Styela clava: one gene and its partners. Each later gene encodes a partner of the first gene's protein in a complex. Links are inferred from orthologs where the notes say so. Each region holds a gene or a part of one and is shown in the gene's direction. Other genes may lie near its edges.

Region 1 (6,974 bases):
TCGAAAATGGGAGAAAAATGAAAGCACATTTGGTTAAGGAAAAATTCAAAAAAAGGAAAAGGCGAAATAATGGCATCGGATATTACGAAACGACAGAATCGGCAAAAAGAATACGCTACGCCAATATTCAATCAGAGGAAAGCAATTTGATTACAGGAGATAGAAATGCAACAGGCTTACTTCCAAAAATGGAGATTTCAAACTTTGGAAAAAACATATGGACATCAGTACATTTTTTAGAAAAGATTAAAACTACTGCTGTGAAACTTTGGAAACAAGCAAACGAAATAAAAGATTTTGGTCACACGGCATTAAGACTTAATAAAGAAATCGATCTGAACTGGGTTGATGTATGCTCGGTTTGCCCAAATATTGGAAAAGAAACATTGTTCAAAATGCAGAAAGTTATAAAAAATATAACGTATCAAGGTTGGCTAACGACTGACGTAGTGAATGCATCCATCAAAATGACTGTGGATCAGCACAACAGAGCAAAACAGAATGAAGATATCGGATGCACCGACTGGTATTTCACCAAAAGAATAATCGATGGACGTTATTTTAAAAGCGGATCAAAAAGTTTGAGAGATCTAATTGTACATGGAAGCAGTGAGTTGAGACAGCATCTAATATTTCCCTATCTTGTTAAAAAACGGAGAGCAGCATTTTGTCATATTATATTATTCGACCGATTTGAAGATTTGCACTATTATCAATTCCATCAGACCATACGACAAAATTTTATACAAAACAATTCAATCACAATTCATCCCATTTCTTCGTCAATTGGCAAATGTGCAATATATACATTAAATTAGAACAAGAATGCATAATTGAGCAGAAAGACGGTAGTTCCTGTGGAGTCTGTGCATGTGCGGCTGCCGAATTTATTTGTACGGGGGAAAAGTTCAATATTTCTACTGATGATTTCAGGCATTGGATTGTATATTTTCTGTTCGAAAACTCAACCAATGCATATCTCTTGAATGGTCAAAAAAACGAAAAGCCTATATTTAAAACTGTCGGATTGGTAAATAAATGGAACAACTGTTGGGAAAATTGTTGCTTACAGGCTTTAAATTATCTCCTAAGAAACTCTCGAATAGCAAGCGATGACGTGCCAGAATTCAATAACCTTGTAGGAAATGCAATTATGATACTCCGAACAATGTCCACAGGGCATCAAGTGTCGGATATTTCTATCACAAATTTATTGAAGAGAGTTTGTACAGAAAAGATGTGGACCTATGGACAAGAACAGGACGCTGCCGAGTTTCTATTTCAGACAGTGCTATTCAATATATGTCTGCTTTACGGGAAGGTTACAACCCTACAACTATCGACAATACGCTTGTGTAAAAAGTGCCCATATAGGACACATAATATAGTTTCACAAAATCATTTAATATTACCAATGCCAGAAACTATCGCCGACAGTGCTTATTTACAAATTTATTTAAAAGATTACACATATGGGAAAACTGGAAATGCCCCGAATGCAAAAAGAAATCAAGAGCAGAATGCAAAATCAATATCAATTCAACACCGGATATTTTGACAATTTGTCTTGCTCGAGGAACAAGACAAGGAATGAAAAATCATAAAAAAGTTTTCCCCAATCCCGAAATATCCATTTTTGATAATTCGCGGAATCAAAATGTCAAATACGATCTAGCTAGTGTTATTGTACACCGGGGTGAAAATAATGATACTGGAGGATCCCACTACGTGACTTACATATATTCTGACAATTCAACAATCTTGTGTGATGATCTGAATATTGGAGATCAGATATTATTCGATCCGGAGGATCCAGGCGATGATATAGCCAGGGGAGGGTATATATATTTTTATGAAAAACAGCTTAATACGCTAAAGTAGGATGCATCAATTGTAACTCCAATTACGTATATCTGAAAGATTTCCAAGCTGATAGAACATCCTTCCTGAAGTTATTTAAAGAATTGAGCACAATTTTTCGCTACAGCGAATTGGATATGGTCGTTTTTTCATAATCGTAACTATGACTAGGTAATTATCGGACATTTCATGCTGTGCTGGCTTTACTAATGATATTTTGAAAATTTAACCAATTCTTTGTGTTACTGTATTAGATTTCACGTTCATAAATCATATTGAAACTTTTCCTTTAATACACAATATTTCGTTACAGCTAAATTGCTTTGTCATTTTTAATAGTCTTAAATTTCGCTTAGTAAATATCGGAAATTTCAATAAGTTATGTTGGCTATTAAAATATTTATTTGAATATTTAACTAATTTTATGTGTTACTACATTGGATTCCACATTCAGAAATCATGTTGAAACTTTTCCTGCAATGCACCTTTTTCAATAGAGCGACTTGGATACGATCGTTTTGTTATAATCTTAACTTTCATATTGAAACTAATCGTCGTCTAACATGTTTTGACATTAACTGTAAATTTGTTAAATGTATTTTACTCGATAAATTTGAAAATTTCAACTTTTTTATGTTGATAATGTAATAAACGCGTTTTTACAAAATATTATTATGTAATATTATTCGATTTCGTCCCGAGAAATCGCCAGATGTTGCTTGTTGATGTCGTATCCCAAATGTGGCAACTGATGTTTTTTCCGCTATGACACCCGGATGTAAAGTTGTATTTTTTGTGCTGAAATTGTGGCAAGATGACACCGGTTTTAAAAACATTTTTAGTCATGCATGGGACGACCGTTTCATTGTTGGATCAACACTTGAGCAAAATAAGCACATGCAAATGGGGGCACCGCATAAATTTTCATAGACGATTTTTCAACGGTATCTTAGTGTTAGCAAATTAAGTCGAGATGGTCATATGATTTAGATCTCAACATTGGATCAGTTGAAATTGATAATTTCTCTTATTGGAGTACCATCTAACACCTCCATATAAATGTTTGCAGTCATGAGAACTATTACCCCAAAATGTCATGTAAAAGAATCATAACTTTTAATTACTAGTAAATATTTGCGACCGGTTTTAAAGACACTTTCTTATCGTTAAAAATTGTCGCTTTTGCCGATTGGTTGTTACCGATGGAATGGTTTTTATACTCATAAAATGATGGGAGAACTTACAGCGCTCATCCTGTCCCCGTAGATGGGGGTGACTTGGTCCCGCAGTAGCTTGCCCCGGTTGTCAAAATGACCACGCGCCGCCACTGGTAAAATCCTTTCATTGACCATCTTAATTGTTCATTCCAGTTTAGTAGGCGAAGCGAGGCTTTTAAAAAGTCGATGCTGAAATTTGGCGCCAAATTATTTTAAACGTCAGCTTAGCTCATCACGCTTTATTGATTTCCTAGTTTCTGTCTACAGTACTTTGTCGCTCGGTCGAATAAGTCGCTTCGAGTGTTTTGTGGTTGTAATTTCCGGACTTCGGTCTTCCACTAACTGCTGGTATTTAGGATAGGATAGGATAGGATTTACATATTTATCCCGGGGAAGAGGAAAGCCGATAAGACGGCTTATCCATATGGCGAACCACGGCCTCTCGTCCGGTTACCATTCCAAGTCGGGTATGGGATTAGATTTTACTGTATTGTTTGTTTTCGGAAGCATGGACTTGGTGGTGGAGGAAGCCGTAACCGACCAGCGGTTACGTGAACCACCCAACGACGGCGAGGAGTCCAGCAATCCTCTCGCACATAACCATCCCTGCATGGGATTCGAACCTGCGAACCCACGCAGAGTAGTTAGAGGTGCGGTGGCGAGCGTATTCCTAACGCTTAGCCCGTTGAGCCACACCGCCGCGCCCAATTATTTCATTTTAACTATCATTCAAATGTACAATAGTGTCCAGATTGTGTATACAACATTACGGACATCATCTTTAGACTGTTAGATAATAAAGGTTTTTGCAATCTGGAGGGTCCTAGGCCTACTGGCTGACTGCTGGACTGGCGAGAGTAAACGACGGTACCGGTACCGTACCAGCTTACCGATCCCCCAGGATAAATATGTAAACCGTATCCTATTTTTAATAATACGTCAATACAAATAACAGCCAGATACTAGACAGCATTGTGAAAGCTGGATTCTGGGGTTATACATTACCATACTGAATCTGTGCAAATTCAGAAATCAGGTAGCCTAGACTAATTGTGAATTTCGAGTATCAATATGAAAATTGAAGACAAACTATCAGAAACATTCGATAAAAGTCAACATGGACATCAAAATCAAGCTAAACTCGCAGAAGGATTGAAAACATTTTATTCTAAGGTCAGAAGGTTTTTACTTTTCAACATTACTGCATTAAGTACCGGTACCACATTACAGCATTAACTTTATTATGCATTTCAGCATTTGGTGAAGTTAAATATCTCTGTATTTCTTTGGATTCAACCCAAATGGCAGATAAAAATATGTGCCCATAATGGCTGAAAAACCTTCAATAATAGGTTTTAGGAAATGAGAAGTTGTATTACTGTATAATTATGCACAGATATAGATATGACCTCGATGATAAGATGGTGGATGCTTCCATTGTAATTCAAATCTTAACTATTGGCAACCCTTATTTATTCAAAATTGTTAGTAGCCTATTGATCATTATATTAACAATATTTAATAGGCCTACAATATTTATAAAACTATAATTTACTGTTTAATAATTTTTCAGCTGAAAGATAATGACAAGCAAACTTTCCGAGATGAGTTTATTCGACATTTGAAGCCATGTTTGGTTGTGTTTACGAGAGAACCTGCTGTGGAACGAGTGATGGAATTTGTTGCACGGTTCGATATCCCTATTTGAAACATTGGTGGCTAATAACTCTAACTAGGATAACGGTTCACGATATTAATATTCTGAGAATATTTCGAAGGGTTGATCATGTTTTTGGGTTATTTCAAATTTAGTTGAAGTGGAAATTTCCACAAATCTATGAAGTTTTTTTTAGGTGCAGTCACTCCCTTTGTACCCTAAATATATTTGGAGATTTCTGAATGAAAATTAAACGAAGGGGGTTCAATATACAGTCCTCAAATGCCATTTGAATATATCCTATCCAAGACAAGATAATCGCTTGGCCAGCTTGCATAGCGTCCTTCATTTTCTTACTTTTTAGAATGAAATATATGTTTCCATTCAATCTAATGAGGTGTCCCACGCGATAGTTAATAGCCACCTAAAGAAAACTGGTTTTTTACTGAAGTTATGAAAAGTTTTGACTGTCTGTGATGAACCCTCAAAATAATAACTATTCAAATATATTACAATATTTAATTTGCTTTGTCCACATGTACCTCTATGACACACATAAATGTCATTGCAAAAAAACAAACTATTCACTGTGCCATATGATTTTGTTTACCACCACAGATTTGCAGCATGTTTTGCACAAACAAGTGATGAGGATGAAATTGAACCAGAGGTTGATGCTGATAACTTCTATCATTTCTTATTCGATTTTTTACTCAAGGTGAGTTGAAACATTCCACTGTCATGATGAAGATGAGTTTTTTGAAATACTTTGATGCTACTTGCCTTGAATACTTTGATTCTACAAGTCCATATTTAAGGATGCGTTTATATGGAAATGACTTAAGCTAAACATATTTTCATTTAAAATTATTGAATTGGTTTTATTAAATTTTTTTTTTTTTTTGGTAAATTTCTATATGCACGAAAAAGCTTAAATCAGGCTTCATGTTAAATTTTGCTAGTAAAAATTTTTATATCATCAAAAACTATAGTTTGTTTGCTATTTGTTGAAATTGAAACTTCAAAAATTGAATTAATCTGAAGAAATCAAGATATGAAAAATTTGTAAAAGATGCTTAATCTTCAATATATATATATATGTATACATCTGTGTGTATATTACCAGATAAATTGAGAATCTTTTTCTAGAACCATGTTGCGCAAGGAAAAGCAGTTAGATTTCGTATCTGTCAGCTTGTCAAGCTGTTATTGCATGTTGTACCAAGGGATGCAGCTTTGGATGAGGACTTGGTAGAAAGGTATGGAATTGCATAATGGGGCAGAAGGCCTAGTTTGAAAAAAACCTTATTAGTCCGGCAGAATCGCGCCTTAACATTGTTTTGAGACAAAGTTTTTTTATTGTTTAGATATAATGTCGATGACATAAATAATGATACCCAGGTGGTTGTGGAGTATATAATGTTGAGCAATTTTTTTTAAATGGATTTCAAGTATTTGTACCAAGATGACGCACAACCTGAACCCTAACCTGGTCCACATCATGCAATGTTCAGGTTGTGCGCCATCTTGGTACGAATACTTCGGGAGCACCTTTCGTTAAAAACAATTATTTCATAACTACATGGGTTAGTATTGAATACATAGTAACATTGCATCTCCTTACAATGTCAGAAATTCAATTTTAGTAGAATAAATGGTAGTTTATTTCACTAATATAAGCCAAGATCTATCGACAGCATCTAGCCACTTTCTTTTGCGCTCGTCAAACTACATTTGTGTTGCTGCGGGCATTTCGTTTTCCTGCTTAAAGTTAGGGACCTGGGAAATATTTTATTAGTTGAAATGAATTGGAATATTCGACCTCGTCTTTCACTCCGAACAAGGCCATGTAACTGACGATGTGTAACGAGTTTTCTTTTGAAAGAACAGGAACCTTTCAGGTGCAGCATTGACTTTTGCCAAATTAATATATTCTTGAGGAGATAGAAAGTATGCGTATGCGAAACCGAGATGTGCACCTGTTATGCCAACATAGTTGAGTCAAACATTTTGATCACTAGTACATCACACACATTTTCCTGTGTGCTTCGGTTGTACGTAGTAACGCGCACATTTTTGCGAACATGCATCAAATTCCACTTGTTTATTGAGCTATAGGTTTTTGACGAGCTTTCGTGTATGATTTCATTCCATAGAATTTGTATGCTGTTTTTATTAAAGAATACTAGTTTCAGCTTTTTTATTCATTCAAACCGCGTGTTGGAAGTAATTTTTGTAAT
Region 2 (6,997 bases), on another chromosome or scaffold:
CCCGGGGGAGAGGAAAGCCGATAAGACGGCTTATCCATATGGCGAACCACGGCCTCTCGTCCGGTTACCATTCCAAGTCGGGTATGGGATTAGTTATATTGTTTGTTTTCGAAAGCATGGACTTGGTGGTGGAGGAAGCCGTAACCGACCAGCGGTTACGTGAACCACCCAACGACGGCGAGGAGTCCAGCAATCCTCTCGCACATAACCATCCCTGCATGGGATTCGAACCTGCGAACTCATGCAGAGTAATCAGAGGTGCGTTGGCGAGCGTATTCTTAACGCTTAGCCCGTTGAGCCACACCGCCGCACTGATTCATTCATGATTTTTCTATGCAAATGTTTATTTCTGGGAATGGGATCAAATCAAATTTGGATGGGATTCACATTTGTCCAGCCTTGAACGCAATGATATAATATTGCTATTTTGCACTGCTAGACACAAAATATGGTTAGAAAGGAATGCCGTAATTTTTCAGATGCTAACCCAAATCTGCAAATGCAGAATTGTAAACAATGTAATCATTAAAATTAAGAAGTCACTCATGGCAAGAAGAAATATAGAAAAGTTTAGGCAACATCCTAGTCCCACAAGAGAACTTGATATGAGTTATAATAACTTATGAATTTTTACCTCAGTGAAAGTACTGAAACTAATACATATTTAATTTTTTTCTTGATAATAAATGTTAATTAAAAAATAATGCACTGCCAATTACTGTGGGAACTACATGGATACTTAATTTGGATATAATGGACAATACAATCAATCAATTGCTGGCTGCTGTTAATGTATCTTTTCTGTTAATAATTTTGGATGGTTGTTATTTTTATACATTCTTTGATTATTGAATAATCCACAACGTGAGAAAAAACCAAAACATTTTTTCAAAATAGGGTGTTATTATTTTTTGATGTCATTTTAAATATTGAAAATTGCATTTTGCTACCGGTATGACAGAATTTTTTTTGACTTTCTTTCTCCAGTTCTCAATGTCTCATGAGTTTCAGAGATGAATTTTGGCGTTTGCTTATAATGTTTACGTAGTCTATACCGATACCAGATTTTCAAATGACAGAATGAAGCCTACTACAGTGTTCCCCGAAAATAAAACCTAGCCTGAATTTTAAAATTATTTTAATATAAGCCCACCTCTTTTAAATAAGGCCTAACTTATTCAATAACGCGAACACGTTTGAATTGATGATGATCTATGTTCTGCTGTCATTTTGAATAAAAACGTGTTATTTATAAGTAAATAGATATCTTTTTTTCATATTTGAAAATCTCGTAATTCTCTACACTTAATTTTGTTTTTGGTAAATGAAAATAAAAGGAATCCCCCGAAAATAAGCCCTAGAGGTATTTTGCAGAAGAAAATTGAAATGTGACCCTGTTGTAATTTCGGGGAAACACAGTATGTCGTCTGTTTTGTGTTTTACATATGGCAATGTCTGAATGTTCTGCTGTAATTTTAGACATCATTTTGTATAAAAACAGATAATCATTTTGTGAATGATGAAATACTTTTTGTTAATATGATATTCACATGGTTATGAAATAACTTTAATACTCGTCTTAGTCTACCGCTACTGCCTGACTGATGTACTGCAGTAGCCCGACTAGCCTGTATCTCTATACAGGGCATCGCTGTTTTATAATTTGAACTCCATAATTTTAAAATATTTCCGAATTTTTTATGCTCGAAACATGTAAGTATTGTTTCTCAAGTACATCAAGTATAAGTTTAGTTTGACCGCATGATCATCATAACAGACGATAAAGTAATTGATAAAAACAACCAAACACATGCACGTTTTATCGTTTATAATGCTGATTATGGGATCACAATAAGCTTATACTTGTACATAGCAAACAAAAAATAAATGAATAAATAAAAATTACTTGCCACACCATATTATTATTAATTTTCTGATGGTTGCCAAATTGAGTATTGATTTTGTAAACAAGAGTGAACAGTAAAGAAAAATAATGAATAAAAAGATATCGCCAAGCTGATTATGATTACAACAAATCAATCAGTAAAAACAATAGTTCCTAAAATAAGTTTGTGTCTCTCCCAGTAATTCTTGTGCTAGTTCAGTAGTTATGCAATGACAAGCGATGCAATGCTACTAAGGCTTACTAAGAAGTTGCTTTGATCGTTGAGCAGGTAATTATCTGTAGGTCGTGTTTGCTATCAACCCGAATTTCAAAACTTGAGCTTCTCAAGTATTATTTTACCATGGTTATTAATAGTCAATTCATTTACTATTGGTAAACTTCTTGTTCAGAATGCTATATCAGTTTAGCTGTTTTTTTTATCGAAAATGGAAAGTGAACATGTGTTCATGATACCTTTTCGCACTGTCAGAATTGGAACATTGAAAACATTTCCTCCAAGAGATCGTCGAAATATTCCACTTCAGTTTTCAAAAGAAACAATATCTTTCAGTGCTGTATTGGAACAAAAAGGATATAATAAGAATGCAATACAGTTCAATATCCCTTCAAGAGGAATTGTACTCATTGAAGCACATCTCAAAGTTGGATGTCCCGTTATTTGGATTACTTTTGATTCTGATACTGCAGAAAGGATAAGAAGAATTACAAATATGCATTTAGAAACAGAGCCGGCATCGTATCTCGATCCGGACTCAAATGAACTTGCCGAAAAAAGATTATGTATTATTCCTATTCATGATCCTGTCGAAGAATCCCAAGTTGAAATTTTTTATAAAGTTGTGCGAAGCATTGCTGATGAAAGAAATCTGGATTTTACTAAAATTTTCCATGAATTATTGAGATCGGATTGTAATAGACAATTAATTCGTTGTACCCAATACATAACACAACTCACTAAGTTTCAAAACTCTTTCCGAACGAAGAAGGATATTGAAACAGAAACGAAAAGTGCTGTTATTGTCACAAAAACCGTTTCAGAAAATAAAAATGAAGATGAACATGATTTTATCATTATTGCATCAGATGAAGAAGAAGATTCAAATATGGATTCACTGTCGACAAAATTAGAAAAAAAGAACAAAAAAATAGGATCCAAGGATGTAAATAATACAAAACATCGTCGCCAAGCTGACTATCCCTCCGGGATATCCTCCCATAGATCGCATTCATATAAATTCCAAAAAAAGGAGTATGTTGCACCCAAACGTAAATCATCTCCTGATTTAGTTGATTTTGATAAAAATTATATTCCAGAATCCAACAGATTTAAACATCAAAAATTTGAAACTTGACTATTTTTTACCTTGGAAATTGAAATATATTGAAAATATATTATAAAATATTGATATATAGGTAAGTGGAAAAATGCGTACGAACAAGTTTTTTTAAGACAAAAACATTTTAACTTTATCTGCACTGATTTCATATATGTTACAAGCTATAAATCCAATAGATTTCTTACTCTTTATTTATAGGTCTTCAGACTCTCCCTACTTATCTGAACTGATGTGCTTTCAAAATCAAATGATTGTCTTTTTATATAGATTTTTCTTGTGAGAATCCTCATTCAGTGGATGACTGATCTTTGATATTTCATATTTAATAATGAAAGCTTGTTTTGTTTTTGAATTTTATTCCTTTGTATTACCTGGCCACATTAAGCTCGAATCTTATTTGCCGAATTCAGACTTCATATGATTTACCATGATCACGATATCACAATTCATATTTCCAGTACTTTTTCTAATTGTATATTTATTTTAATCATTGAAAGCAATATCATGATGTATTGTGCAAGTTTTTCCTATAAACACTCATTATTCCTATCTACCAGTGGTTATTATTTGCCTTTTTATTCTATACAGCCATGCTTATTATGTTTTTTTCTCGTGTCTGTGCCTGTTACTTTGCCTATATGAAACTACTCATCATAATAGTATTATATCATAGCATTTTTATGTTGAATTTCATTTTTTTTACAATCTTATTTGTTTTATTCTCTAGGTTTATATTTATAATAATAGGAAATGAAAAATTTTGTTATACCGTTTCATCTTCAAGACTTACAAAATTCAACGCCGTCTGCGACACAATATGTCGTTGAAGAAGTTTTCTCCAGTCGTATGCTGCCGATAAAACTACAAAGTGAATATCATTTTTTATATTTTGTAAAAAGAGTTTGATCGAATTGAAAACAAAAGAATAATAAAAAAAGAAAATTTAGTTTGACCAAAATTGAACTAAATATATTATTAATTGTGTCATATGAAAACAACTATGATTTATGACCATGTCAAGTATGAATATCAAATAAGCCTGTTTTTATTTTATCCTGCATGTAAATATCATATTTAAGTGATTGAAATTAACCAACTTGTAGACAAGTTGGCGAGTTTATGGCTCAAAATGACAAGTTTCCAAGTAACAATATTCCAAATAATTCATGAATTAAATTATGCAATTTATTGCTTTATTAATTAAATTCGGTTAAAAGTTTTGTAGTAATGGTGTAATGGTCTTTTATTCTGATCAATATTGATTACCAATAATCCAAAACCACCCTTGAAGAAACTAATTATTCTTATTTTTAGATGCAAAAATTGCTTTTGCAAGAGATGGAGGACTTGCAGTACTGGAGAACTTTGATGTGATCTACAGTGTCGTTTCAAAATTCAATGAAATAGATCCAGTTGTGAGACAACAGACTTGGGAGATGTTACTCAAAAGTAATAAATATTTGTAATCTTTTTAAAAGTATTGTGGGATTTTGGTTTTTAGTATTTTTGTATATTATCGAATGTTAAGGAATTTATACACTCTAAATGTTTGTTTTTTTAATTTCATTTAAAATTCTTTTTTTTCATTTACTTAGCAATAGTAGAGGTTTGCCCAAGTATCGAATTGTTTATTTCTGTAACATTGACTTATCAGCAAAATGTTAAAGGTGATATAGCAGTTAAACTTTAGTAGTCAGTAGTCACTCAGTCTCAGACACTTTTTTCATGAAGACAGATTTTGTAGTCGTTATTAGCCCCTTTTGTGACTTTGTTGCTACCTATTTGTTCAGAGTTTGTAGTTGTGTTTCCGAAGTTATGAATTCATTGTAAAACTGATATTTGGACAATATGCTCAAGTTACAAGTACATGTATGAAGTAGGGTAGGGGTTGGTTACCTACGGCACACGGGCCGGATCTGGCCCCCGACGGCCACTAAATTATATTAACAAAACGGCTGTTTTAAACATTATATTCTTTACGTAACATAAATTATTGTGAGATACGTGTAGACTGAATTATATTTTAACTTAACAGGTATATAATTTACAATTACTCGTTTAATGAGCCTATAATTTAATTATAGTGGTAGACAAGTGGCAACGAAACGCAGAAAAGTTGATGCTAGGTGCAATGGGTTCAATTGTGCAGAAAATATTCAAATGATATTTTTTGAGATGCAATGCAATGAGAAAATAAATCTATGTTCTATTCGAGATATGTATCACTGCTCAATTTTTATAAAAAGTATCTTCTTGAAGAAAAACTGTATCCAAATATGACAACCATGTGAAAAAATTCACATTGATGTTTTGAAGTAGCCTACATATGCATGCGAACAATTGTTTTCGAAAATGAACATTACAAAGAACAAGCGGAAAACTCAGATGAGTGATTCCCATTTTCAAAATGTTTAATCTTGGGCTGGATATCCATCCAGTGGCTATATCCAGTGCAACCCCTATTTTTGGTTCACACTCCACAAGCGACAAAACTTTGCCGATCCCTGCAGTAGGGTATAGGGGTGTCCAGAGAATAAAATTCAAATTAAATGCTATTTCATAAAGCTGGTTTATATTAAGAATTCTGATGCTATTACTATGAATTAGTGTTTTTTCTCTATGAAATCATAATTTCTAATAAATTTTCTCATTAAGCTTGCAAGTCTTACAGCAACTTCTTGGGGAATATTCTCTCTAGTGGATCCTCAGGAGATAACCTTGCATCGCCAACTCTTGACCTTGACGCTCGATTAAATCACAAGAATGCGTTGAAAATGTTGATTTATCTGATGGTACAAATGACAGAATTATTTCAAGCTAAATATAATCAATCAACAGAGGCCTCAGCTTCTGTAAATGCTGGCAAAAAGCGTGGAAAAGGATCTAAAAATAAGACAAGTACCAGTCAAGGTATGTAAAATTTTGCTATAGTATCTTGTAACAGACATTGCCAAACCATTTTTAGCGGCTCCAAGTCCAATCATTTGATTATTTTATCACATCATTCACATTCATAGTTTTCTTTCCACAGTCTTTACCCAGACCATAGTAAATCCTACTGTTGAAACTAAATATTATGCCAATTTGCTTTTCAAATGGAATAAAATAGCTATTGGCCAAGGATAAATGGTATTGAATCCATTTCTTATTTGCCATTAATTATCTTCGATTATTTTTATCTTTGGCAAGGATGAATTTAGTTAGGTTGTTTATCTTATGTTGTTCAGTACTTTCGTTATTCCATCTTAATTGTGGGACAATGGCTCAGCAGTTAAAAGCGTATACATAACTGTGTTGGCATCATCAATTGCACATCTGAGGTTCAAATATCATTCTTTCCACCTCATCCAGGATCCGTTAAATTGGGTATACCAGGCCAAATCAGAAAGACTCCAGTCCTTCCAAATAAAAACTCCTTTGTCCTTACATATCGTGATTCGTGAGATATCATTGGCTGGTAATATATGCCTTGTTCAGAGTAGAAGACTTGAGAAGCATCTTATACCAAACTAGTAAATGAACAGGATCAAAGAAAAACGATCAGAAAATTAGTGGTAATGCGTAGTAGCAATATCAGGATTGCACCAAAGTGTCATAAAAACTAAATCTATTACTCTGTGCTTTCCAGAGATTCAGTGGACAAATGAATGTGAAAAATTGGTCCGACTTCTGATGACTTTTGTTGATCTTGATATTCATAGATTATGGGATCCTGAACTTGTTGAAGATGATTTTATAAAGTATGGTTTATGAT
Region 3 (7,922 bases), on another chromosome or scaffold:
CAATATATGTATTACAAATGCAAGTTAACGATTTCCCGACATGATATAAAGTATTAAACTGTTAAATTTACATATATGAACTGTTTCTATTTCAATTGTATATGGTAGTATATATATATATATAAAAACTGCAACGTTGGAAAGAAACAGGTATATATATATATAATATATTGTCAATTCGGTGCAGACTGTGCTGATGAATCTTCAGTTACTTATCTTTCTACGAAACTGCACATATAAACAGACAAATGCACAAACACACATATGCACTTGGTTCAGTGCAAACAAAATACTGTATTTTGACAAACTTACTTGATGTGTCTTTGACTCGAAGGATGCTCATGAGGAATGCCTTTTATTTACTAGAATATCGTGAATATTAGTAGCAATCGTCGATAACATGTACAAGTGTAACTGGACAGCTCAGTTTGTACATAATTTTGCACAGGAGATGAGTTTCAAAAAGGGGAAATCTTGGAAATTTCAGTAATTAACAAATTAATTAATTATCGGGATTATGACCTAACGATAAATGAAAAACCAACAACGCAGGCACCGTTTAAGTCGGTGCATCATTTTTAAGAGATGCACATTGCAATGCGGATTTAGGCAAAAAGCGACATGAATAAGATTAAAATGATGTAGTTACAAATGGTTCTTTCTCATATAAATATGGCCAGAGTAGTGCCTACATGAATAAGTAAATAATGGTTAAAAAAGAAAACTTGTAACGCGAATAAATGTATAAATGTCAGATCCGCGTTCTAAATAATAAGTTTAATTAAGAGAAATGTTCAAAACTTAACAATAACAGGCGCGACTAATTCAGTAATTTTATATAAGTGTTTCTGGAGCTTGACAGAGGTTGTCTTGGAAGCCTTGAAGAAAATGTAACATCACAACAGTTTTCTATACCCATCATATGTTAAAATGTATAGTATAGAGGAATGTTATCTTATCTCACCTCAATAAACAACAATGAATTGATAAACGCACCTTGATTGATATTTTATTGACTTGATTGATATTTTAATATCGATGATATTGAATCTTGAATATTACATTTATACCAACGACTAACATACCGATTTATACAAAGTATACAATATTTTCACAAATAGCCTTGGCCAGAGAATGCATATTGTTTACACCAAAAATCTGATTTGTTTCGATTGAACCCGTGCTTCTGATTATATTACACTTAACAGTGGCGGCGCGTGGTCATTTTGACAACCGGGGCAAGCTATTGCGGGACCAAGTCACCCCAATCTACGGGGATAGGATGAGCGCTGTAAGTTCTCCCATCATTTTATGAGTATAAAAACCATTCCATCGGTAACAACCAATCGGCGAAAGCGAAAATTTTTAACGATAAGAAAGTGTCGTGTCTTTAAAATCGGTCCAAGTCAAGGGATTAATAAATATAGACATAGTTTATTTTGAAACCTCTTTCAAAAGGAAAGGCAATATTTACCCAGATAAATACAATGACATATTAACAGAAACTTCGGGAAAGCAGACAAAACCTAAACGTTACTATGAAGAAAGGAAAGGTAATGCAAAGATAAGGACATGCGTCGCTCATTCATAGATATATATGCTGCTAGACTTCTACTGCTTGAACATATATGCAACACGCCGCGGTTTCTTGGAGGCAAAATGCTCAATAACGCGCTGATTAAAGTCATGCATCCCAGAAATAACGTCTCTGTGAATGGATAAAACAGCCAAGGAATTTAATCTATCTTGCTTCATTGTGTTTCTGAGATACGTTTTAATACGCTTCAGCGTGCTGAATGTTCGCTCTGCGTCGGCGGAAGAAATAGGCGTCGTCAAAATGATGTCCAGAAATTTTGCAGACGCCGCAAAGGTTACTAGAGTGTTATCTATGAGGAACCCATAGAGCGCGCAAGTTGATGTGATGTTCAAAAAAGTTTGATTGGTGTATATACATCGCAATTCATTTCCCAATTTACCCACGTTTATCATGGGGTAAAATTTGGCGAAAACGGAGTGCGAACTAGTGCATCAACCTCATTCATTATGAGGTCTAAGGCTAAGAAATGGGAAGCCGGAAAGAAGTGAGGAGCTCAAAAGGAATGTGGAAAATCGAAAGCAAATGGACTAAAGGTCTCTAACTGATTCAAATAGCGAAACAAGCGACAAAAACGAAGGCGAGGAAACTATCAACTCTTCAAGCAACCAACGAACGAGAAGGAATGCGTGAATATGTCAACACGTTGTTGTAAGAAACGTCGGCATTGTGTCGTCATAATTTCGGGGCTAGCCCCGATGATTTAGTAAAAGAAACAGAAAACAAACGAGACAAACGCGGCGAGTGGAAGATAAAAGAGAGAATACGATATACAATGAGCAACCGGGGCAAAATCGGCGTCGCCCCGTCGACGTTCGGCGAAGGCTTTGCGAGCGAAAAATGAATCATGTCGGGAGAATATGGCTAGTGTAGACAGTCTGTGCAACCGATATTGAGGTATTTTTCGAAGATTTTTTATTATACCGAAAAAACAACCGGGGCATTGGCCCGGTTGGCAGTATTGACGCGCCGCCACTGTTACACTAGTATGTGTATAGTAGAATAAAACACATCTCATGTTTATATTGTTCAAAATGCTGCACAATTTGTATTAACTTACATTCATCCATAAGTATACAGTTACCCAAATAATTGGTATCCTTGAATACCTGCTCTCCAACCTTATCGTTTTGATCATTTTTTTTTTTCATTTTTGCAATACAAATTCAATATGTGGCAAATTCCGTTAGTTAAAATAATTTTATACCATACGTTCGCTTTTATAATAGAAAATAGTAAATTGCAGCAAATCGTGTTTACCTCTATTGTTACGTACCAATAGACGCAGACATTAGAAACAGAATGTAAACGACGTAGAAAAGTAAAATATATATCATGTTAATAATGTACAGTCAGTAATTCTTTTTGATAATATTTTATTTATGTTATTTTTCATTATAAAAGGAAAAGTGAAATGCATTTGATAATTCATATACACAGCATTTAAAATAATATACATTCACAATAAATATAATATTCAGAATATTCAATCATATATTAGTTATTAACACAATTCTGTTAACATCCGGGAGCACTTAGCAAAGCGCCGCAGCGCCCCCTTTGGGAATCACTGCCGTAGACGGTTTTCATTACCAGCATTTAATAATTTTTAAGCTCAAGTCTTTGATATAAATCAGCAAATAAATAAAATGTAGAGGTAGAAAGAATGACACCGCAAACTTTTTGCCGGCTCGATTTGACGCGTGAATAAATGCCAAAAAGTAATCGATTTTTTTTTTAACTTCGACATTTTATTTGGGTACGAAATAGTCTTAAACCAAATTTCAGAGTTCCCGCCATTACCAACGCCATCGCCGTTTCAGCTGACATTCTAGGCACCGTATTTAGGACAGTACGACGGTTTTTAAATGTCAAAATCAACTGTAAGAGCGGACTGCTGATGGAGTGTTTGCTAAATAAAATATTCAATGATTTTATGTCGGCCTTATCTAAAACAACCTAATTTATAACAGTATAACGTTAAACGTTTACGGATAACGTATCGGTAGTCGGTACCGTACGGCAAATGTTCTACGCCAAAAGAGCACTGGTACGGTACCGGTACCGGTACGTTGTGTGGGGGGGTCTTGTGACGTTGCAATGACGTAGTTTTTGAATAATACTGTTATAGGATATGAAACTGGGTATGACATCACTTAGCACTGCCTGACGTGTAGCATAATCTGATAATGCTGTAAATTGTAATGCGCCAGCCGTCAAGTGTCAAACTGAATAAGGTACTGAAATACCGGATCTGCCGACATTTTCAGACAGTTCTGCAGTTAGAATGCTGGAAAATAGGGCTGTAGAAGGTTCATTCCAAGCAACTGGAATTTCACCAATTTTTTCAAAAATGTAACGTCCAGACGTTAGAGTTACTAAAATCCCGGAACTGTGATTTTCAGTTCTGGATCTCTTCTCTATGCTTTTGCAGTTTTGTGCGATATGTATGATGAGGAGTGTTTAGAACAGGCATAATCCTGATACTGAATATTGCCTTGACTGCAAATGAAAGTGAACACAGATCAAGATCAAAGCGAAAACTAGAAAATTTAGAAAGAGGACAGAGAAAGATAGCCTACATACAGACATCTAGTATTTCAGTTTTTTAATGCTGACCAAATTAGTTTTTTAAGGCTAGGGCGTAAAAATTTAATTTTAGCCATACCGGTACTGAATAAAATGTCTTGACTACCAACTACTGAACTATACTTGACTTGAGACTCTTAAGACTATCCCAACTGAATTATCACATGATTCATTGCAAAAATTGAAAATTCTCAATACTGTTACCACAATACATGCAACATCTCAAATTAGACAATACCAGTTTGTTTCGCATTTTATCGCTGTAAAATCATGAATGTGAAAGGTCTTGTTTTGCCAATTATTGAAGTTATTGCAAAATATATGTAATTATAAAACATTATGTGGAAAATATTCAGTAGGCTATTTCACTGTTATTGTTAGCGGCCCATTTTTCTACTTTGTTTGACAAAAATTCGTAAATTTTGATATCCGAAATAGATGAATTTTTTTCACATGATTAAAATTGCTTCATTTCTGTATTTGACTTTTGTGTCGTGATTTGCGTACAATTTCATAAGTCAAATTTAACTATATCATGATTTTGTTTCTCGATGAATGAATTTAGAAGATTCTGAATTAATCGCAAACCAAACCTTTTGAAACTCAAACTACTCAACTTACATGATCATCCCTATCTCTCTGCTCTCAATCTTTTCACATTATTTGCTATGTTTAAGAGTGCAAGGAAGTAAACATCTTCTCATGAACCCATTTTATTTTATAGTATTACAGAACGTCTTATGTCTGAGTTAAGCTAATTTAATCATGTCGACCCCGCTGACATCAAGGAGACGCTCTGTCAATTTACTCAACCGATATGCAGGCAAAAGTGAAGTCTCTTCACCACAAACTCGTCGTTCTCTCAATGGTCAAGGTGATGCGCCATTAGAATCACCGCAGCTTCCCAATGTTCATAATGAAGAGGATGCGAGGGAACGAAGGGAGAAGAGAAGATCTCGAACTCTAGCTCAAGCAACTGGTAGTCCACTTGTCAAGGTAAAGTAAAGTATAGCAAAGTCTATTTTTCAGGATATTGTATAATTAATTGTTTGGTAGGGCTATGAGTGCTAGAAGCCTTCGGAGGGGGCCTTGAGCCATAAAATGTTGGAAACCGCAAAGGTCTTGTGGAATTTTGAGTTATAACAGATCTAAAACATTAGTATAGACCAGTCTGGATTTCATGGCCATTTTGAACGAGAAACCGGGCATGCAATCAGAAATTCCAGCGCGCAAATCAAAATTCCCGGTGTGCAATTATGAATAACGGCGTGCAAATCGACTGTGCTCGCGTGCAACTGATTTTGACTTCAGTTGCTGTTCAGTACATCGACCTGCGTAAAATGATTGGATAAAAATACATAACTTCGGAGCAGAATGTTCTGGTACTGTTCAGTACATCCGCTTAAAATTATTGGATGAAAAATAGGTTGAATCAGAGCAAAATGGACATTTGACCTTTGACACACAAACATTATTTCTACATTTTGTCATTAATTTTTGGGAGTGTTTTTGCGTAAAATTATTGGATGAAAAATACGCTGAATCAGAGCCGTAACTGACCAGTGTCGACAATTGTGGAGCTACAAATTGTTAGCATCTTTATATTACTGGATTATTGATTTAAAAACTATTTCAACCGATTTTCATTGGTGAGCAATTACAAATTATCGGCGTGCAAAATTGAATTTGCACTCATGCATTTTTGCAGAGTGCTAGCGTCCTCGGGCGTGCATCTGCCAGGGAATCCAGTCTGGAGTATAGGGGCCTAACCTGTCATAAACGCTATGCTAGTTTGTCAGAGTGAAATGGAAAATCAAGTATCAATCTGATAATATTGAAATGCTTGTTTTTTAGTCTGACCACTGGAGTCTGTTTTGCTTACCTTTCGTAAATTATCTATTTGCAGGCCGTGGGTGAAATTTTCGTTAGTTTTTATACACAACTAGATTTATTTAAAATTTTCTATTTTTGAAGTCTTGATAGTTTTTCCTCACCCTTTCCCTTGAATCCAGAAAGTCATTTTTTCCAAAATCTTTTTGCAGAAAAATCTTTGCAGTGATCAACCTATATTCGATACTTGTTACTGTGGCAAGTGATAAGGCCTTTGACTGGCAATGAATAATTTTAACATTGGCCAGTGGAGATAAAGTCAATTTGTAATGACATACATTTGAATGAATGAAATAAACCTTGATTCATATCACAGATTTTCAGTAATTTCCATGTTGCTTTTATATATGCTATTTATAAATGTTGAATATTACCAAGGTTTTTTGCTATTATTTTATAGCCTGTTGAGGAAGATCAGGGCGTAACAGCAAAATTAACCAACGATCAACTGGCATCACATTATGTAAACTGTATTAAACTATCAACGGAGAACAAAATCACAGTGAGTTTATTCTACTACATGTTAATAAGAACTGAAGCGTTTTTATTGCCGGCCATTTCAAAACATGTTAAATTAGGACTTTATTTTGGCAAAGGATCCCAATTTTAATTTGAAACTTCTGAATGTATTTTGATGTTTTGGGTATATCTGTGTAATATAATTTTGAAGGTTGCAGGCTTGCAACTGTATTTATGTTAATGGCTTTTAACTTGATATGTTTTATCTTAAAAGAAAACAGTGTTATGTAATTTTGGAATCCTGCAAACTATGTTCAGAATTAATGATGGAAAATATTGTTAAAAATGTCTTGTAAGAGTTATTTTTCAATGGTAATTGGTAACAGTTATGTGGTTGTGCACGTGTTCTGTCACTCAGCCATTTTATCAAGTGCATTCTGTAACTCCTGGCATACTTGTAGGTTTCTACATGTGATCAAATGAGTGGATATAAATTTGTTTTTAAGCAATGGAGCCATAACCGTGTTATCAATTATCCGAACCTTTGCATATTCAGTTGCTCTTTGTTCAGGCTAAAAATGCTTTCAATCTGCATTTAATTGATCATATGAATGAAATGCTGAAGCAAAGATGCGAAGGAACACTCAATTTCCAGATGGCAGGAGGAACTATATTTGCAAGTGCAAAAATCTATGCATCCAGAGTTGATGCTGTGCATTCTGAGACTTACAAGTAATGTTTTTTATTTTTTTTTTAACAAGATACAAAATATTAGAGCTCGACCGATATATCGGCCAACCGATATATCGGGCCGATATTGCATGTTTTTCCCGATATAATATATCATATCGGCCATACTCCGCAAGCGCCGGGATGCGTGCTTCAACAGCTCTCGCCTCTGCATAACTGCTGGTTTCCCAATATTTCCCTCACTTTCATTTTGCGTTAGAAAGGTGTCTCGCCTAATTCCTGTTGGCACATGATTAGCCATTTCATGCATGATCATAACTGAAAAGTTATTATTCAGAGTAACGTTTTCGAGAGACTGCACAATGAGAAAAAGCAAATTTAGTATCAATAGAAAACGGTGGTTCTATAAATAGAATCGATTTAAAGCTGGTGAGTTAGTAATCACAGAAACACAGTAGAGGTAGCTCGAAGCAATAATGTCATCAAAGTAGTTCCGAATTTGCGACCTTCCCAAAATAAATTTTGAATTTCTGGTGTAACAGTTTTATCAATATTGATGGTTGTTTATCGCTTTGCTGGGACTCACACAAAAAACCTTAATCCATTATAATTGACTAAATAAGGTATTGAGAGTTTCTAGAAACATAGTTATTATTAAAAATTTCACATGTTACCGCACATATGCTATCACAATATTGTA
Region 4 (7,421 bases), about 7.7 Mb from region 1:
AACTGCCCGATTATATTTTGTTTTGATCCGTATTTTTGCCATTTTGCGAATTCGACAAATCTGAGCCGTACTTGCAACACTGACTCCGCTCAATCGCAATGCTAGCACTCAGATTATTTTTAAGGTAAAACCGTTCAAAAAATCTGTAAATCTGCTGTAAAACCTAACAGAGTAAAATTTATTTCAGCACAATAAAAATTGATTGAATATACTTTAGGTTTAGATCAATTATCTTATATAGCATCACAACTCGGGAAAAGTAGCGTTTCCAACCTCGTATAATGTTAACACAAAAATTTTCGACGAAAATTTCAATTAATGAATAAAAAGTTAAAGTTGGGGGGGTGTTTCAAAATTTAGAGGGTGGTAAATAATTTGCTATTAGAGATAAAACTAGGCTATTTGTATTCTTAACAAAATGGTATGTATTTAAGAAACGATGTACATTGTTGATTGACCAAGATGATTGACGCGAGCCAAAATCCACAGAAGAATAAAAATGTAGGGCCAGAAAAGGGGAGCGAGGAAAAGTGCGGGACGACACGGCTGGGGTTCAGGGCGCGCTCAAGCGGCCTGAGAAAATTTTGAGAAATAGGCACCAAAATAGGCTCTAAGCTTGATTTTAGATACACCTAGCATCGCAGTTTGTTATGTAATGAAATCAATAATTAGAAAATTTAGCTGATAGAATTCCCGGGGAATAGATAACAAGCACGGCTTTCAACCGTAAATATATACTACTACGTTTCAACAAGTAATTTGCAACTGATAGTGACTAAGGAAGTTACTTGCTCATCTGGCATTGTATGAATGGCTACTTACGTTTTGTTACACATTTCTAATTTTTTGGAACATGTTTGTTTGACTTTTGTATGAATTAAATTTTGAAATAAGCTCGTCAACTGATCATAATGTTGTATTCCTTCAGAACTGAAATATTTTGTTGGTAAGAAGACAAATCGCTGAAGCTTGATTCTTTTCAATAAAGAAATAAAAACGCTGTCATTCATCTAAAAAACGTCATTTTCATTGCCTAGTTTTCGTTTTGTGACATCTTTAAGCTTTCTTAATATACGGCTGATATCTAAAATACTGCAGTGTGTAATCCTAATACCCATACGTATACATAAGATACCGGAATAATTCAATTGTTACGAAATAAACGTGCTTAAACTGTGATAATGATGTAACAATAGACGGTATCTAAAACTCAAAAGGTACCACATGAAGGGTTAAACTATTTCACTCAAGTTCGGCGGGCCATTTTAAATCGTCGCGCGGGCTGTAATTGGCCCGCAGACTGCGGTTTAGAACCCCTCAGTGTGAAATCGCACCTCAAAATTAGGGGGGGGGTGTTTGAAATTTTAGGGGGGTATAGGGGGGGTGTAGGGAAATCACTGAACCCCCCATGGGCTGCGCCACTGATCACGGGTATCCACGCTTTCTGGTGTTTACATCAAAAGCATTTAAGTTACTCCAATGACATTAAACTTTAATGTTAATAGTTAATGTTATTGGTTACCCATACAATAGCGAAAAAAATAATAATCACGGATTTTAAATATTCTGGGGTATATGAAATAGAAAGATTCGTAGACTCATTGCTATCGATTATTACTGAGTTATTACTATCGATTTGCCATTTGTATGTTACTTACCTTTTTTCATCGATGGCCTCATTCTATTACGGCTTCCTCAACCATCAAGTCCATGCTTCGGAAAACAAATAACTGGCTAACCATATTTACGGGATAACTAACAAGAGAGCTACGCACAAATATATGGACACGTCAGACCAGAGCGAATCAGTCCTTACCGGTACCTTTGACGCTACCGGTACCCTCAAAAAAGTTCCTAATTTCCAGTAGCAAGAATTTTGCAGAATCAAAACGTACAGCCAGTCATGACACTGACTAAAATCCGTGTTCCCATGGATAAAAAATAATACAGCAAAATATTAGACGAAATATCAAATTTCATAGAATTCACGCAAAATTTTGAAATAAATAAAAGCAATAGCCTTCTAGCGAAAAAATTAATCTTTAACCACTGAAAATTTCAAAGCAATTGGTCCAGTATTCGAAGAGAAAGGCGACTTTTTAAAAACGTGTCAAAGAACAAGAACAACAACAACAACATAATATTGAAACGATCGTTATGTCCACTACGTGTCCAATAATCCCATACCCGACCTGGACTGGTAACTGGACGGTAACTGGCCGTGGTTCGCCATATGATTAAGCCGTCTTATCGGCTTTCCCCTCCCTCGGGATAAATATGTAAATCCTATCCTATCCTTGATTGATCCGGGTAAGTTTATATTCATGCATTTTTGTACCCGTGAAATGGCCCATTCATGACGAATTTTATGGGTCACGCCATCTCGTGGTCTCGCGATTCCCGCGCTTTCTATTATATTTGATGTATTATTTTGATATTCATATAGTCCATGAGTGACAGGTATACGAATAGTTTATAGATATTTTTCATTGTACTTAAAAACAAAAACGTTTCGAAAAGTAATTACGGTATATACGGTAACTTACATACTATCGGTTTTCGTATAACTTGTCCAGTTTTGACATAATGCCATTTCAGTACCGGTACTTGCATTACTGCAGTACCGATACCGGTACCGGTACGGTACCGTAGACCAGGGGTGTGCAACCTTTTTTATTGGCGGGCCAAATACAAGTAACTGGGTGAAGCCGCGGGCCGCACCTTTATTTAATTTAGGCTTTCTGGTAGTTTCAAGCACAAAAATTGCCTATAGCATATTTGCTATTGATCTTACGGCATTATTAAGGGTTCTTGCAGAAATAGTAGATTTAAAACGCATAAACTTCTGAAGAAACTGATATTTAAATTTTTTGTCACACCGACTTCAAACGAATGCAGTGAGAAACACGTTTTTGTAATATAAATCGTGTATTTTGCAACAGAATTTTGCTAGCTTGTTTTGCTAATATGACTGGTATGGGCTTTGCGACGAAAAAGAATAAATACTCGTTTTGCGGGTACACCATTCGAATTCGTTATTTCTCCGCGGGCCGCACAACTTCTTCTTGCGGGCCGCATTTGGCCCGCGGGCCGCAGTTTGCACACCCCTGCCGTAGACTACCGTATCAGCAGATCTGAGCATTCTGCTGTCTCGCTGTTCTGGCTTCTGTTGACAAGACATAAAATTTGGTAGAAAGGGAATGCAGTAAGTTTTTAAAATGTTGGCCAAATGTAATAATAATGACACTCATGTTGACTGATAGGCCTATGTCTGGGCGCATGCTTGACCAAAGCTCATTTTTACGTACCTTAACAGTTTACAAGTTTTGTCACTGACAGACTGCAGGACTGATATTTATAATAAACAAACCTGCAAACGGCAGAACGGGCCAACTCTTGCGACAGCCTGAACTCAGATGCCTAGACTAATTAATGTTTCACTGCAGTAGACTAGCATGTGGGAAATTTTAGTATATATTAAGAAGTAATATTCCTCACTGTATTGTAGCTGGACATCAGAATGATCATATTTTTAGTGTTAATTTATATGAATTTCCGAATTTTGAGCGAACCAGAATATTCTGCGTAAGCGTTAATACCTCCACTTTATTTTTAGTCGATATCCCCAATTAGAATTGCATGATTTCCCCTATAATCTCTATAGCGCCAATATGGTCAAAAAATTTGACGCATCCGCCAACACAAACTATGATGAACTCCATCGGTAATTATATTTATGCCACTCCCAGAGAATTTGTTGTCAAAGGGTACTTTATCCAGTAGGACACAGTTCTCTTATTTCAAGATGTCCCGACATTTGGTTCAATGAAAAAACATTCTTATTTGTCTCTGAAACGAGAGTGTCTGAAGGCAGATGCGTCAGATCATTCCATGCTTGTCTCGATTATAATCCATGGTAAATTAATCACGGCCGTCATGTGACCAACATGGCGTTTTCATCTGAAAACTCTCTGAATGCTATGGTAAAATTTTCTTTTCATTTGATAAATCGGATGATTTTTTTCAAGAAATCCAATCGTGATGTTTTTAGATTGCACTTCTTTTTTAGGTTATTGCGCAGTACTAGTTTGCCAATTTATACCTCCTTTTTACGAGACAGTCTGGGTTGTCATGGCAGACACTCCTCATTTTGGAGACAAATAGGGTGTTTGTTTTATTGAACCAAGTCCTCAAACTTGCTACGAGTGCGTATTTTTGCATGTATGGAAGCACCTGAATCTTTCTGCTTCGGCATTGTTATCCCAATGTCTGAATGTATTCCGAACTGGGTGAGGTGGGTGACATGGGATTAGGACCTGATATGTTTAATCTGTAATACCAACACAGTTAAAGTTGATGCCTCAATCGCTAGGCCATCGCACTGCTTCGTATTTATATTTGATACTAATATTGTGGTATTATTTTCTGGTCTTTTTAAATAAAGTATATTAAAATGACTAAAACTGCCACGGAAAATACTGAAGATAATAAGATGGATACTCCTGATCCTGACACAGAGCCACCAATGGAGTTAGATGATGAAAGAAGTGAAGAAGTAGCGGAACTTGATCTTCCAGAGGGAATTACAATCCCACCTAAACCATTGGCTGTTGGTGTCGGTGCTGCAGGCGAACCACGGCTTATGATAACTCATATTGTGAATCATAATTTTAAATCATATGCTGGAGTTCAAGTACTTGGACCATTTCACAAAAGCTTTTCTGGAATTGTTGGACCAAACGGAAGTGGGAAGTCCAATGTTATTGATTCTATGCTTTTCGTTTTTGGGTATCGTTCCAACAAATTGAGGTCAAAAAAAGTATCAGTGATGATCCACAACAGTGAAAATCATAAAAATGCAACAAGTTGTACTGTTGAAGTTCATTTTCAATCAATTATTGATACAAGTGAAGATGAATTTGAAGTTGTGCCCAACAGTCAGTTTTGTGTCTCTCGTACTGCTTCTTCGGATAATTCATCTTACTATTGCATTGATGGAAAAAGAGTTCATTTTAAGGAAGTAGCCAAATTCCTTCGTTCAAGTGGAATTGATCTGGATCACAATAGGTTTTTAATTCTGCAAGGAGAAGTTGAACAAATTGCCATGATGAAACCAAAAGCACAAACAGCACATGATGAAGGAATGCTGGAATTTTTAGAAGATATCATTGGTTCTTCTCGGTTCAAGGAGGCAATTGAAAAACTGGCAAAATTGGTAGAAGAGTTGAGTGAAGAACGCGGCGAAAGACTCGCAAGAGTCAAACATGTCGAAAAAGAGAAAGATGAGCTCGAACCTTTGAGAGATGAAGCACTTGACTTCTTAAAAGCACAGAATAGAATGGCTGAATTGCAGAACAGACTTGTTCAAAATTATATTAGTAATATTAGCAGAGAAGAGAAAGAATATGCTGTACAGCGAGATGCTCTGAAAGAAAAAATGACTGGAATGGAAGAAGCGCTCAAGATGATTACAGAGGAAAGAAGAGAGAAAGTGAAAACAGTCAAAAAGATTTCAAAGATGTTGGAAAAGCAAGAGTCGTTGTGTCAGCAAAAAAAAGATAAAATGGGTGAATTAGAACAGACTAACATCAAAGTCTTTGAAGATCGCAAACACGCAAAAGCAAAGGCAAAAGATTTAGCCAAAAAAGTTGAAAAAGAAAAACGCAAATTCAAGGAACTCCAAGAAGTGCCAAGCGCTCATGAACGGGATTTAGAAACATTGACAAAAGCACTCGAGGGTTTTGCAGTAAGGAAAAAAGAAGCAGATGAAAATCTTACTGAAGTCACGAGAAGTTTGAAAGATGAAACATCTGATCTTCAGATGAAGATTGAAGAAAAGGAGAAACCCCTCATGGAATTGATGAAAGTTGTAAATGATACAAAACAGGTAAAAGATATGGCGGCAGCAGAACTTGAAATTTATACAAGCAACCATGAAAATGCCGTAGTTGCTCTTGAAAAGGTCACTTCAAGAATTCAGGAAGTAACTAGGATGTTGGAAAGCAGCAGAGAAGAAAGAGAGAATCTCAATCATTCTCTACCTGAGCTTGACACAAAATTAAAAGAGAAGACAAAACATTTACAAAATCTTAAAACCCAGGAACAAGATTTGTCAACCAAACTACAAGCTGCCAGAGGACATCTTGCAGATGCAGAGCATTCTTCAAAATCTGCCAAATCTCAAGGGAAAGTAACAGATTTTTTGATGCAGCTAAAAACCTCGGGAAAATTGCCTGGGATATATGGAAGACTTGGAAATTTGGGAGCTATTGATGAAAAATATGATGTTGCAATATCATCTTGTTGTCCCGCACTAGAAAATATTCTCGTTGATAATATTGAGACTGCACAGAAATGTGTTCAAGCCCTCAAGGTGAATAATGTTGGTCAAGCAACCTTCATTGCATTGGATAAAATGGATCGCCATAGGTCACAAGTTCAAAACAAACCAAGGTCTGCACTTCCTCGCTTGGTCGATTTGATACGTGTTAGTGACGAAAAGTTTAAAGTTGCATTTTACCACGCCTTACGTGATACCTTAGTTGCTAGCGATCTTTCTGAAGCCACCAAGGTAGCCTATGGTAAAGATCGCAGATGGAGAGTAGTCACTATAAAAGGAGAGATCATTGATACTTCCGGTACTATGACTGGTGGCGGTAACAGAGTAGTGAAAGGTCGTATGGGATCAAAGTGCGTTGCACAAGAAGCTGTTCCACTCGAGCAACTGCGAAAAATGCAAAGTGAAGCTGAAGCAATGGAGACAAAATTACGCTCTCTTAGGGGTGAGATTGCACTTGCTGAAGAAGCAGTTGAACAACTCCAAAGAAAATTGCGTAATTCAAAGTGTAGAACGGAGGAGCTCGAACAAGAGGCTTCTGGATTAAATCTTCAACTTAAACAGTTGGAACAACAAAAACCATCGTGTGAAAAAGAAGTTAAGAAAACGAAACCCGATCCAAATAAACAGGAAGAGATGAAAAACAAGTTGAATAAAGTTACGAAAGAATACAATTCTGCTGTAGCAAAATCTAAAAAAGTTGAAGCAGAAAAAAACAGTTACCATGAACAAATTGATGAAATTAACAGCAGGAAACTGAAACCAGCACAAGAGGCTCTTGATAAAATCATCAGTGAAATGAATGCTTCTAAAAAGAAAATCACAAAACTAAAAGTTGGTATTAATACAGCTGAACGTAACATTCAGAAAAGCGAAAAATCGATTGAAGCACTAGAATTGGAGATCACAGAAAATGAAGAAAATTTGAAAAAATTAGAAGAACAATGGACGCAACTCGAAGAAGAAGCTTCAGAACTTTTAAAAGAAACCGAAGAAGTTCAAAAAGAAAAACAAGAAGTGAGAGTTCAATTACAAGAATGTCAAATGGCGCTTCAAGAAATTGAAGAACGTGAGAACAAGACGA

The links.
Region 2: condensin complex subunit 3-like (region 1) and condensin complex subunit 1-like share a complex: the UniProt entries of both Homo sapiens proteins name them as parts of the condensin complex. The link is inferred for Styela clava from reciprocal best matches to the Homo sapiens genes NCAPG and NCAPD2.
Region 3: the proteins of condensin complex subunit 3-like (region 1) and condensin complex subunit 2-like are in contact, whole or in part, in a crystal structure (PDB 6IGX), measured with the Homo sapiens proteins. The link is inferred for Styela clava from reciprocal best matches to the Homo sapiens genes NCAPG and NCAPH. Residues at the interface, in NP_071741.2 of Homo sapiens: Lys11, Phe14, Arg15, Gln18, His50, Tyr51, Lys53, Tyr54, Val55, Met56, Val57, Glu62, Ala64, Val65, Val68, Phe102, Ser106, Glu108, Ala109, Asn110, Ser111, Val114, Arg115, Ile149, Arg150, Lys152, Asp153, Lys154, Arg159, Glu188; in NP_056156.2 of Homo sapiens: Glu471, Ile472, Asp473, Phe474, Glu475, Asp476, Asp477, Ile478, Phe480, Val482, Tyr483, Phe484, Arg485, Lys486, Thr487, Ala489, Ala490, Thr491, Ile492, Leu493, Gln501, Asn502, Trp503, Ala505, Thr506, Thr507, Leu508, Phe512, Tyr514, Val516.
Region 4: condensin complex subunit 3-like (region 1) and structural maintenance of chromosomes protein 4-like share a complex: the UniProt entries of both Homo sapiens proteins name them as parts of the condensin complex. The link is inferred for Styela clava from reciprocal best matches to the Homo sapiens genes NCAPG and SMC4.

Annotation. Positions count from the first base shown.
Region 1 is NC_135251.1:22,335,375-22,342,348, forward strand, and holds the start of condensin complex subunit 3-like, read left to right. Parts: upstream 1-3,956; 5' UTR 3,957-4,148; coding exon 4,149-4,250; intron 4,251-4,650; coding exon 4,651-4,766; intron 4,767-5,352; coding exon 5,353-5,452; intron 5,453-5,883; coding exon 5,884-5,993; intron 5,994-6,974. UniProt on the Homo sapiens protein: Regulatory subunit of the condensin complex, a complex required for conversion of interphase chromatin into mitotic-like condense chromosomes.
Region 2 is NC_135256.1:8,804,478-8,811,474, reverse strand, and holds the start of condensin complex subunit 1-like, read left to right. Parts: upstream 1-3,973; 5' UTR 3,974-3,993; coding exon 3,994-4,111; intron 4,112-4,557; coding exon 4,558-4,692; intron 4,693-5,898; coding exon 5,899-6,153; intron 6,154-6,871; coding exon 6,872-6,983; intron 6,984-6,997. Other genes in the region: uncharacterized protein LOC144425034, read left to right, coding at 2,332-3,258. UniProt on the Homo sapiens protein: Regulatory subunit of the condensin complex, a complex required for conversion of interphase chromatin into mitotic-like condense chromosomes.
Region 3 is NC_135253.1:217,332-225,253, forward strand, and holds the start of condensin complex subunit 2-like, read left to right. Parts: upstream 1-4,907; 5' UTR 4,908-4,948; coding exon 4,949-5,179; intron 5,180-6,473; coding exon 6,474-6,575; intron 6,576-7,103; coding exon 7,104-7,264; intron 7,265-7,922. UniProt on the Homo sapiens protein: Regulatory subunit of the condensin complex, a complex required for conversion of interphase chromatin into mitotic-like condense chromosomes.
Region 4 is NC_135251.1:14,605,481-14,612,901, forward strand, and holds the start of structural maintenance of chromosomes protein 4-like, read left to right. Parts: upstream 1-4,416; 5' UTR 4,417-4,453; coding exon 4,454-7,421. UniProt on the Homo sapiens protein: Central component of the condensin complex, a complex required for conversion of interphase chromatin into mitotic-like condense chromosomes.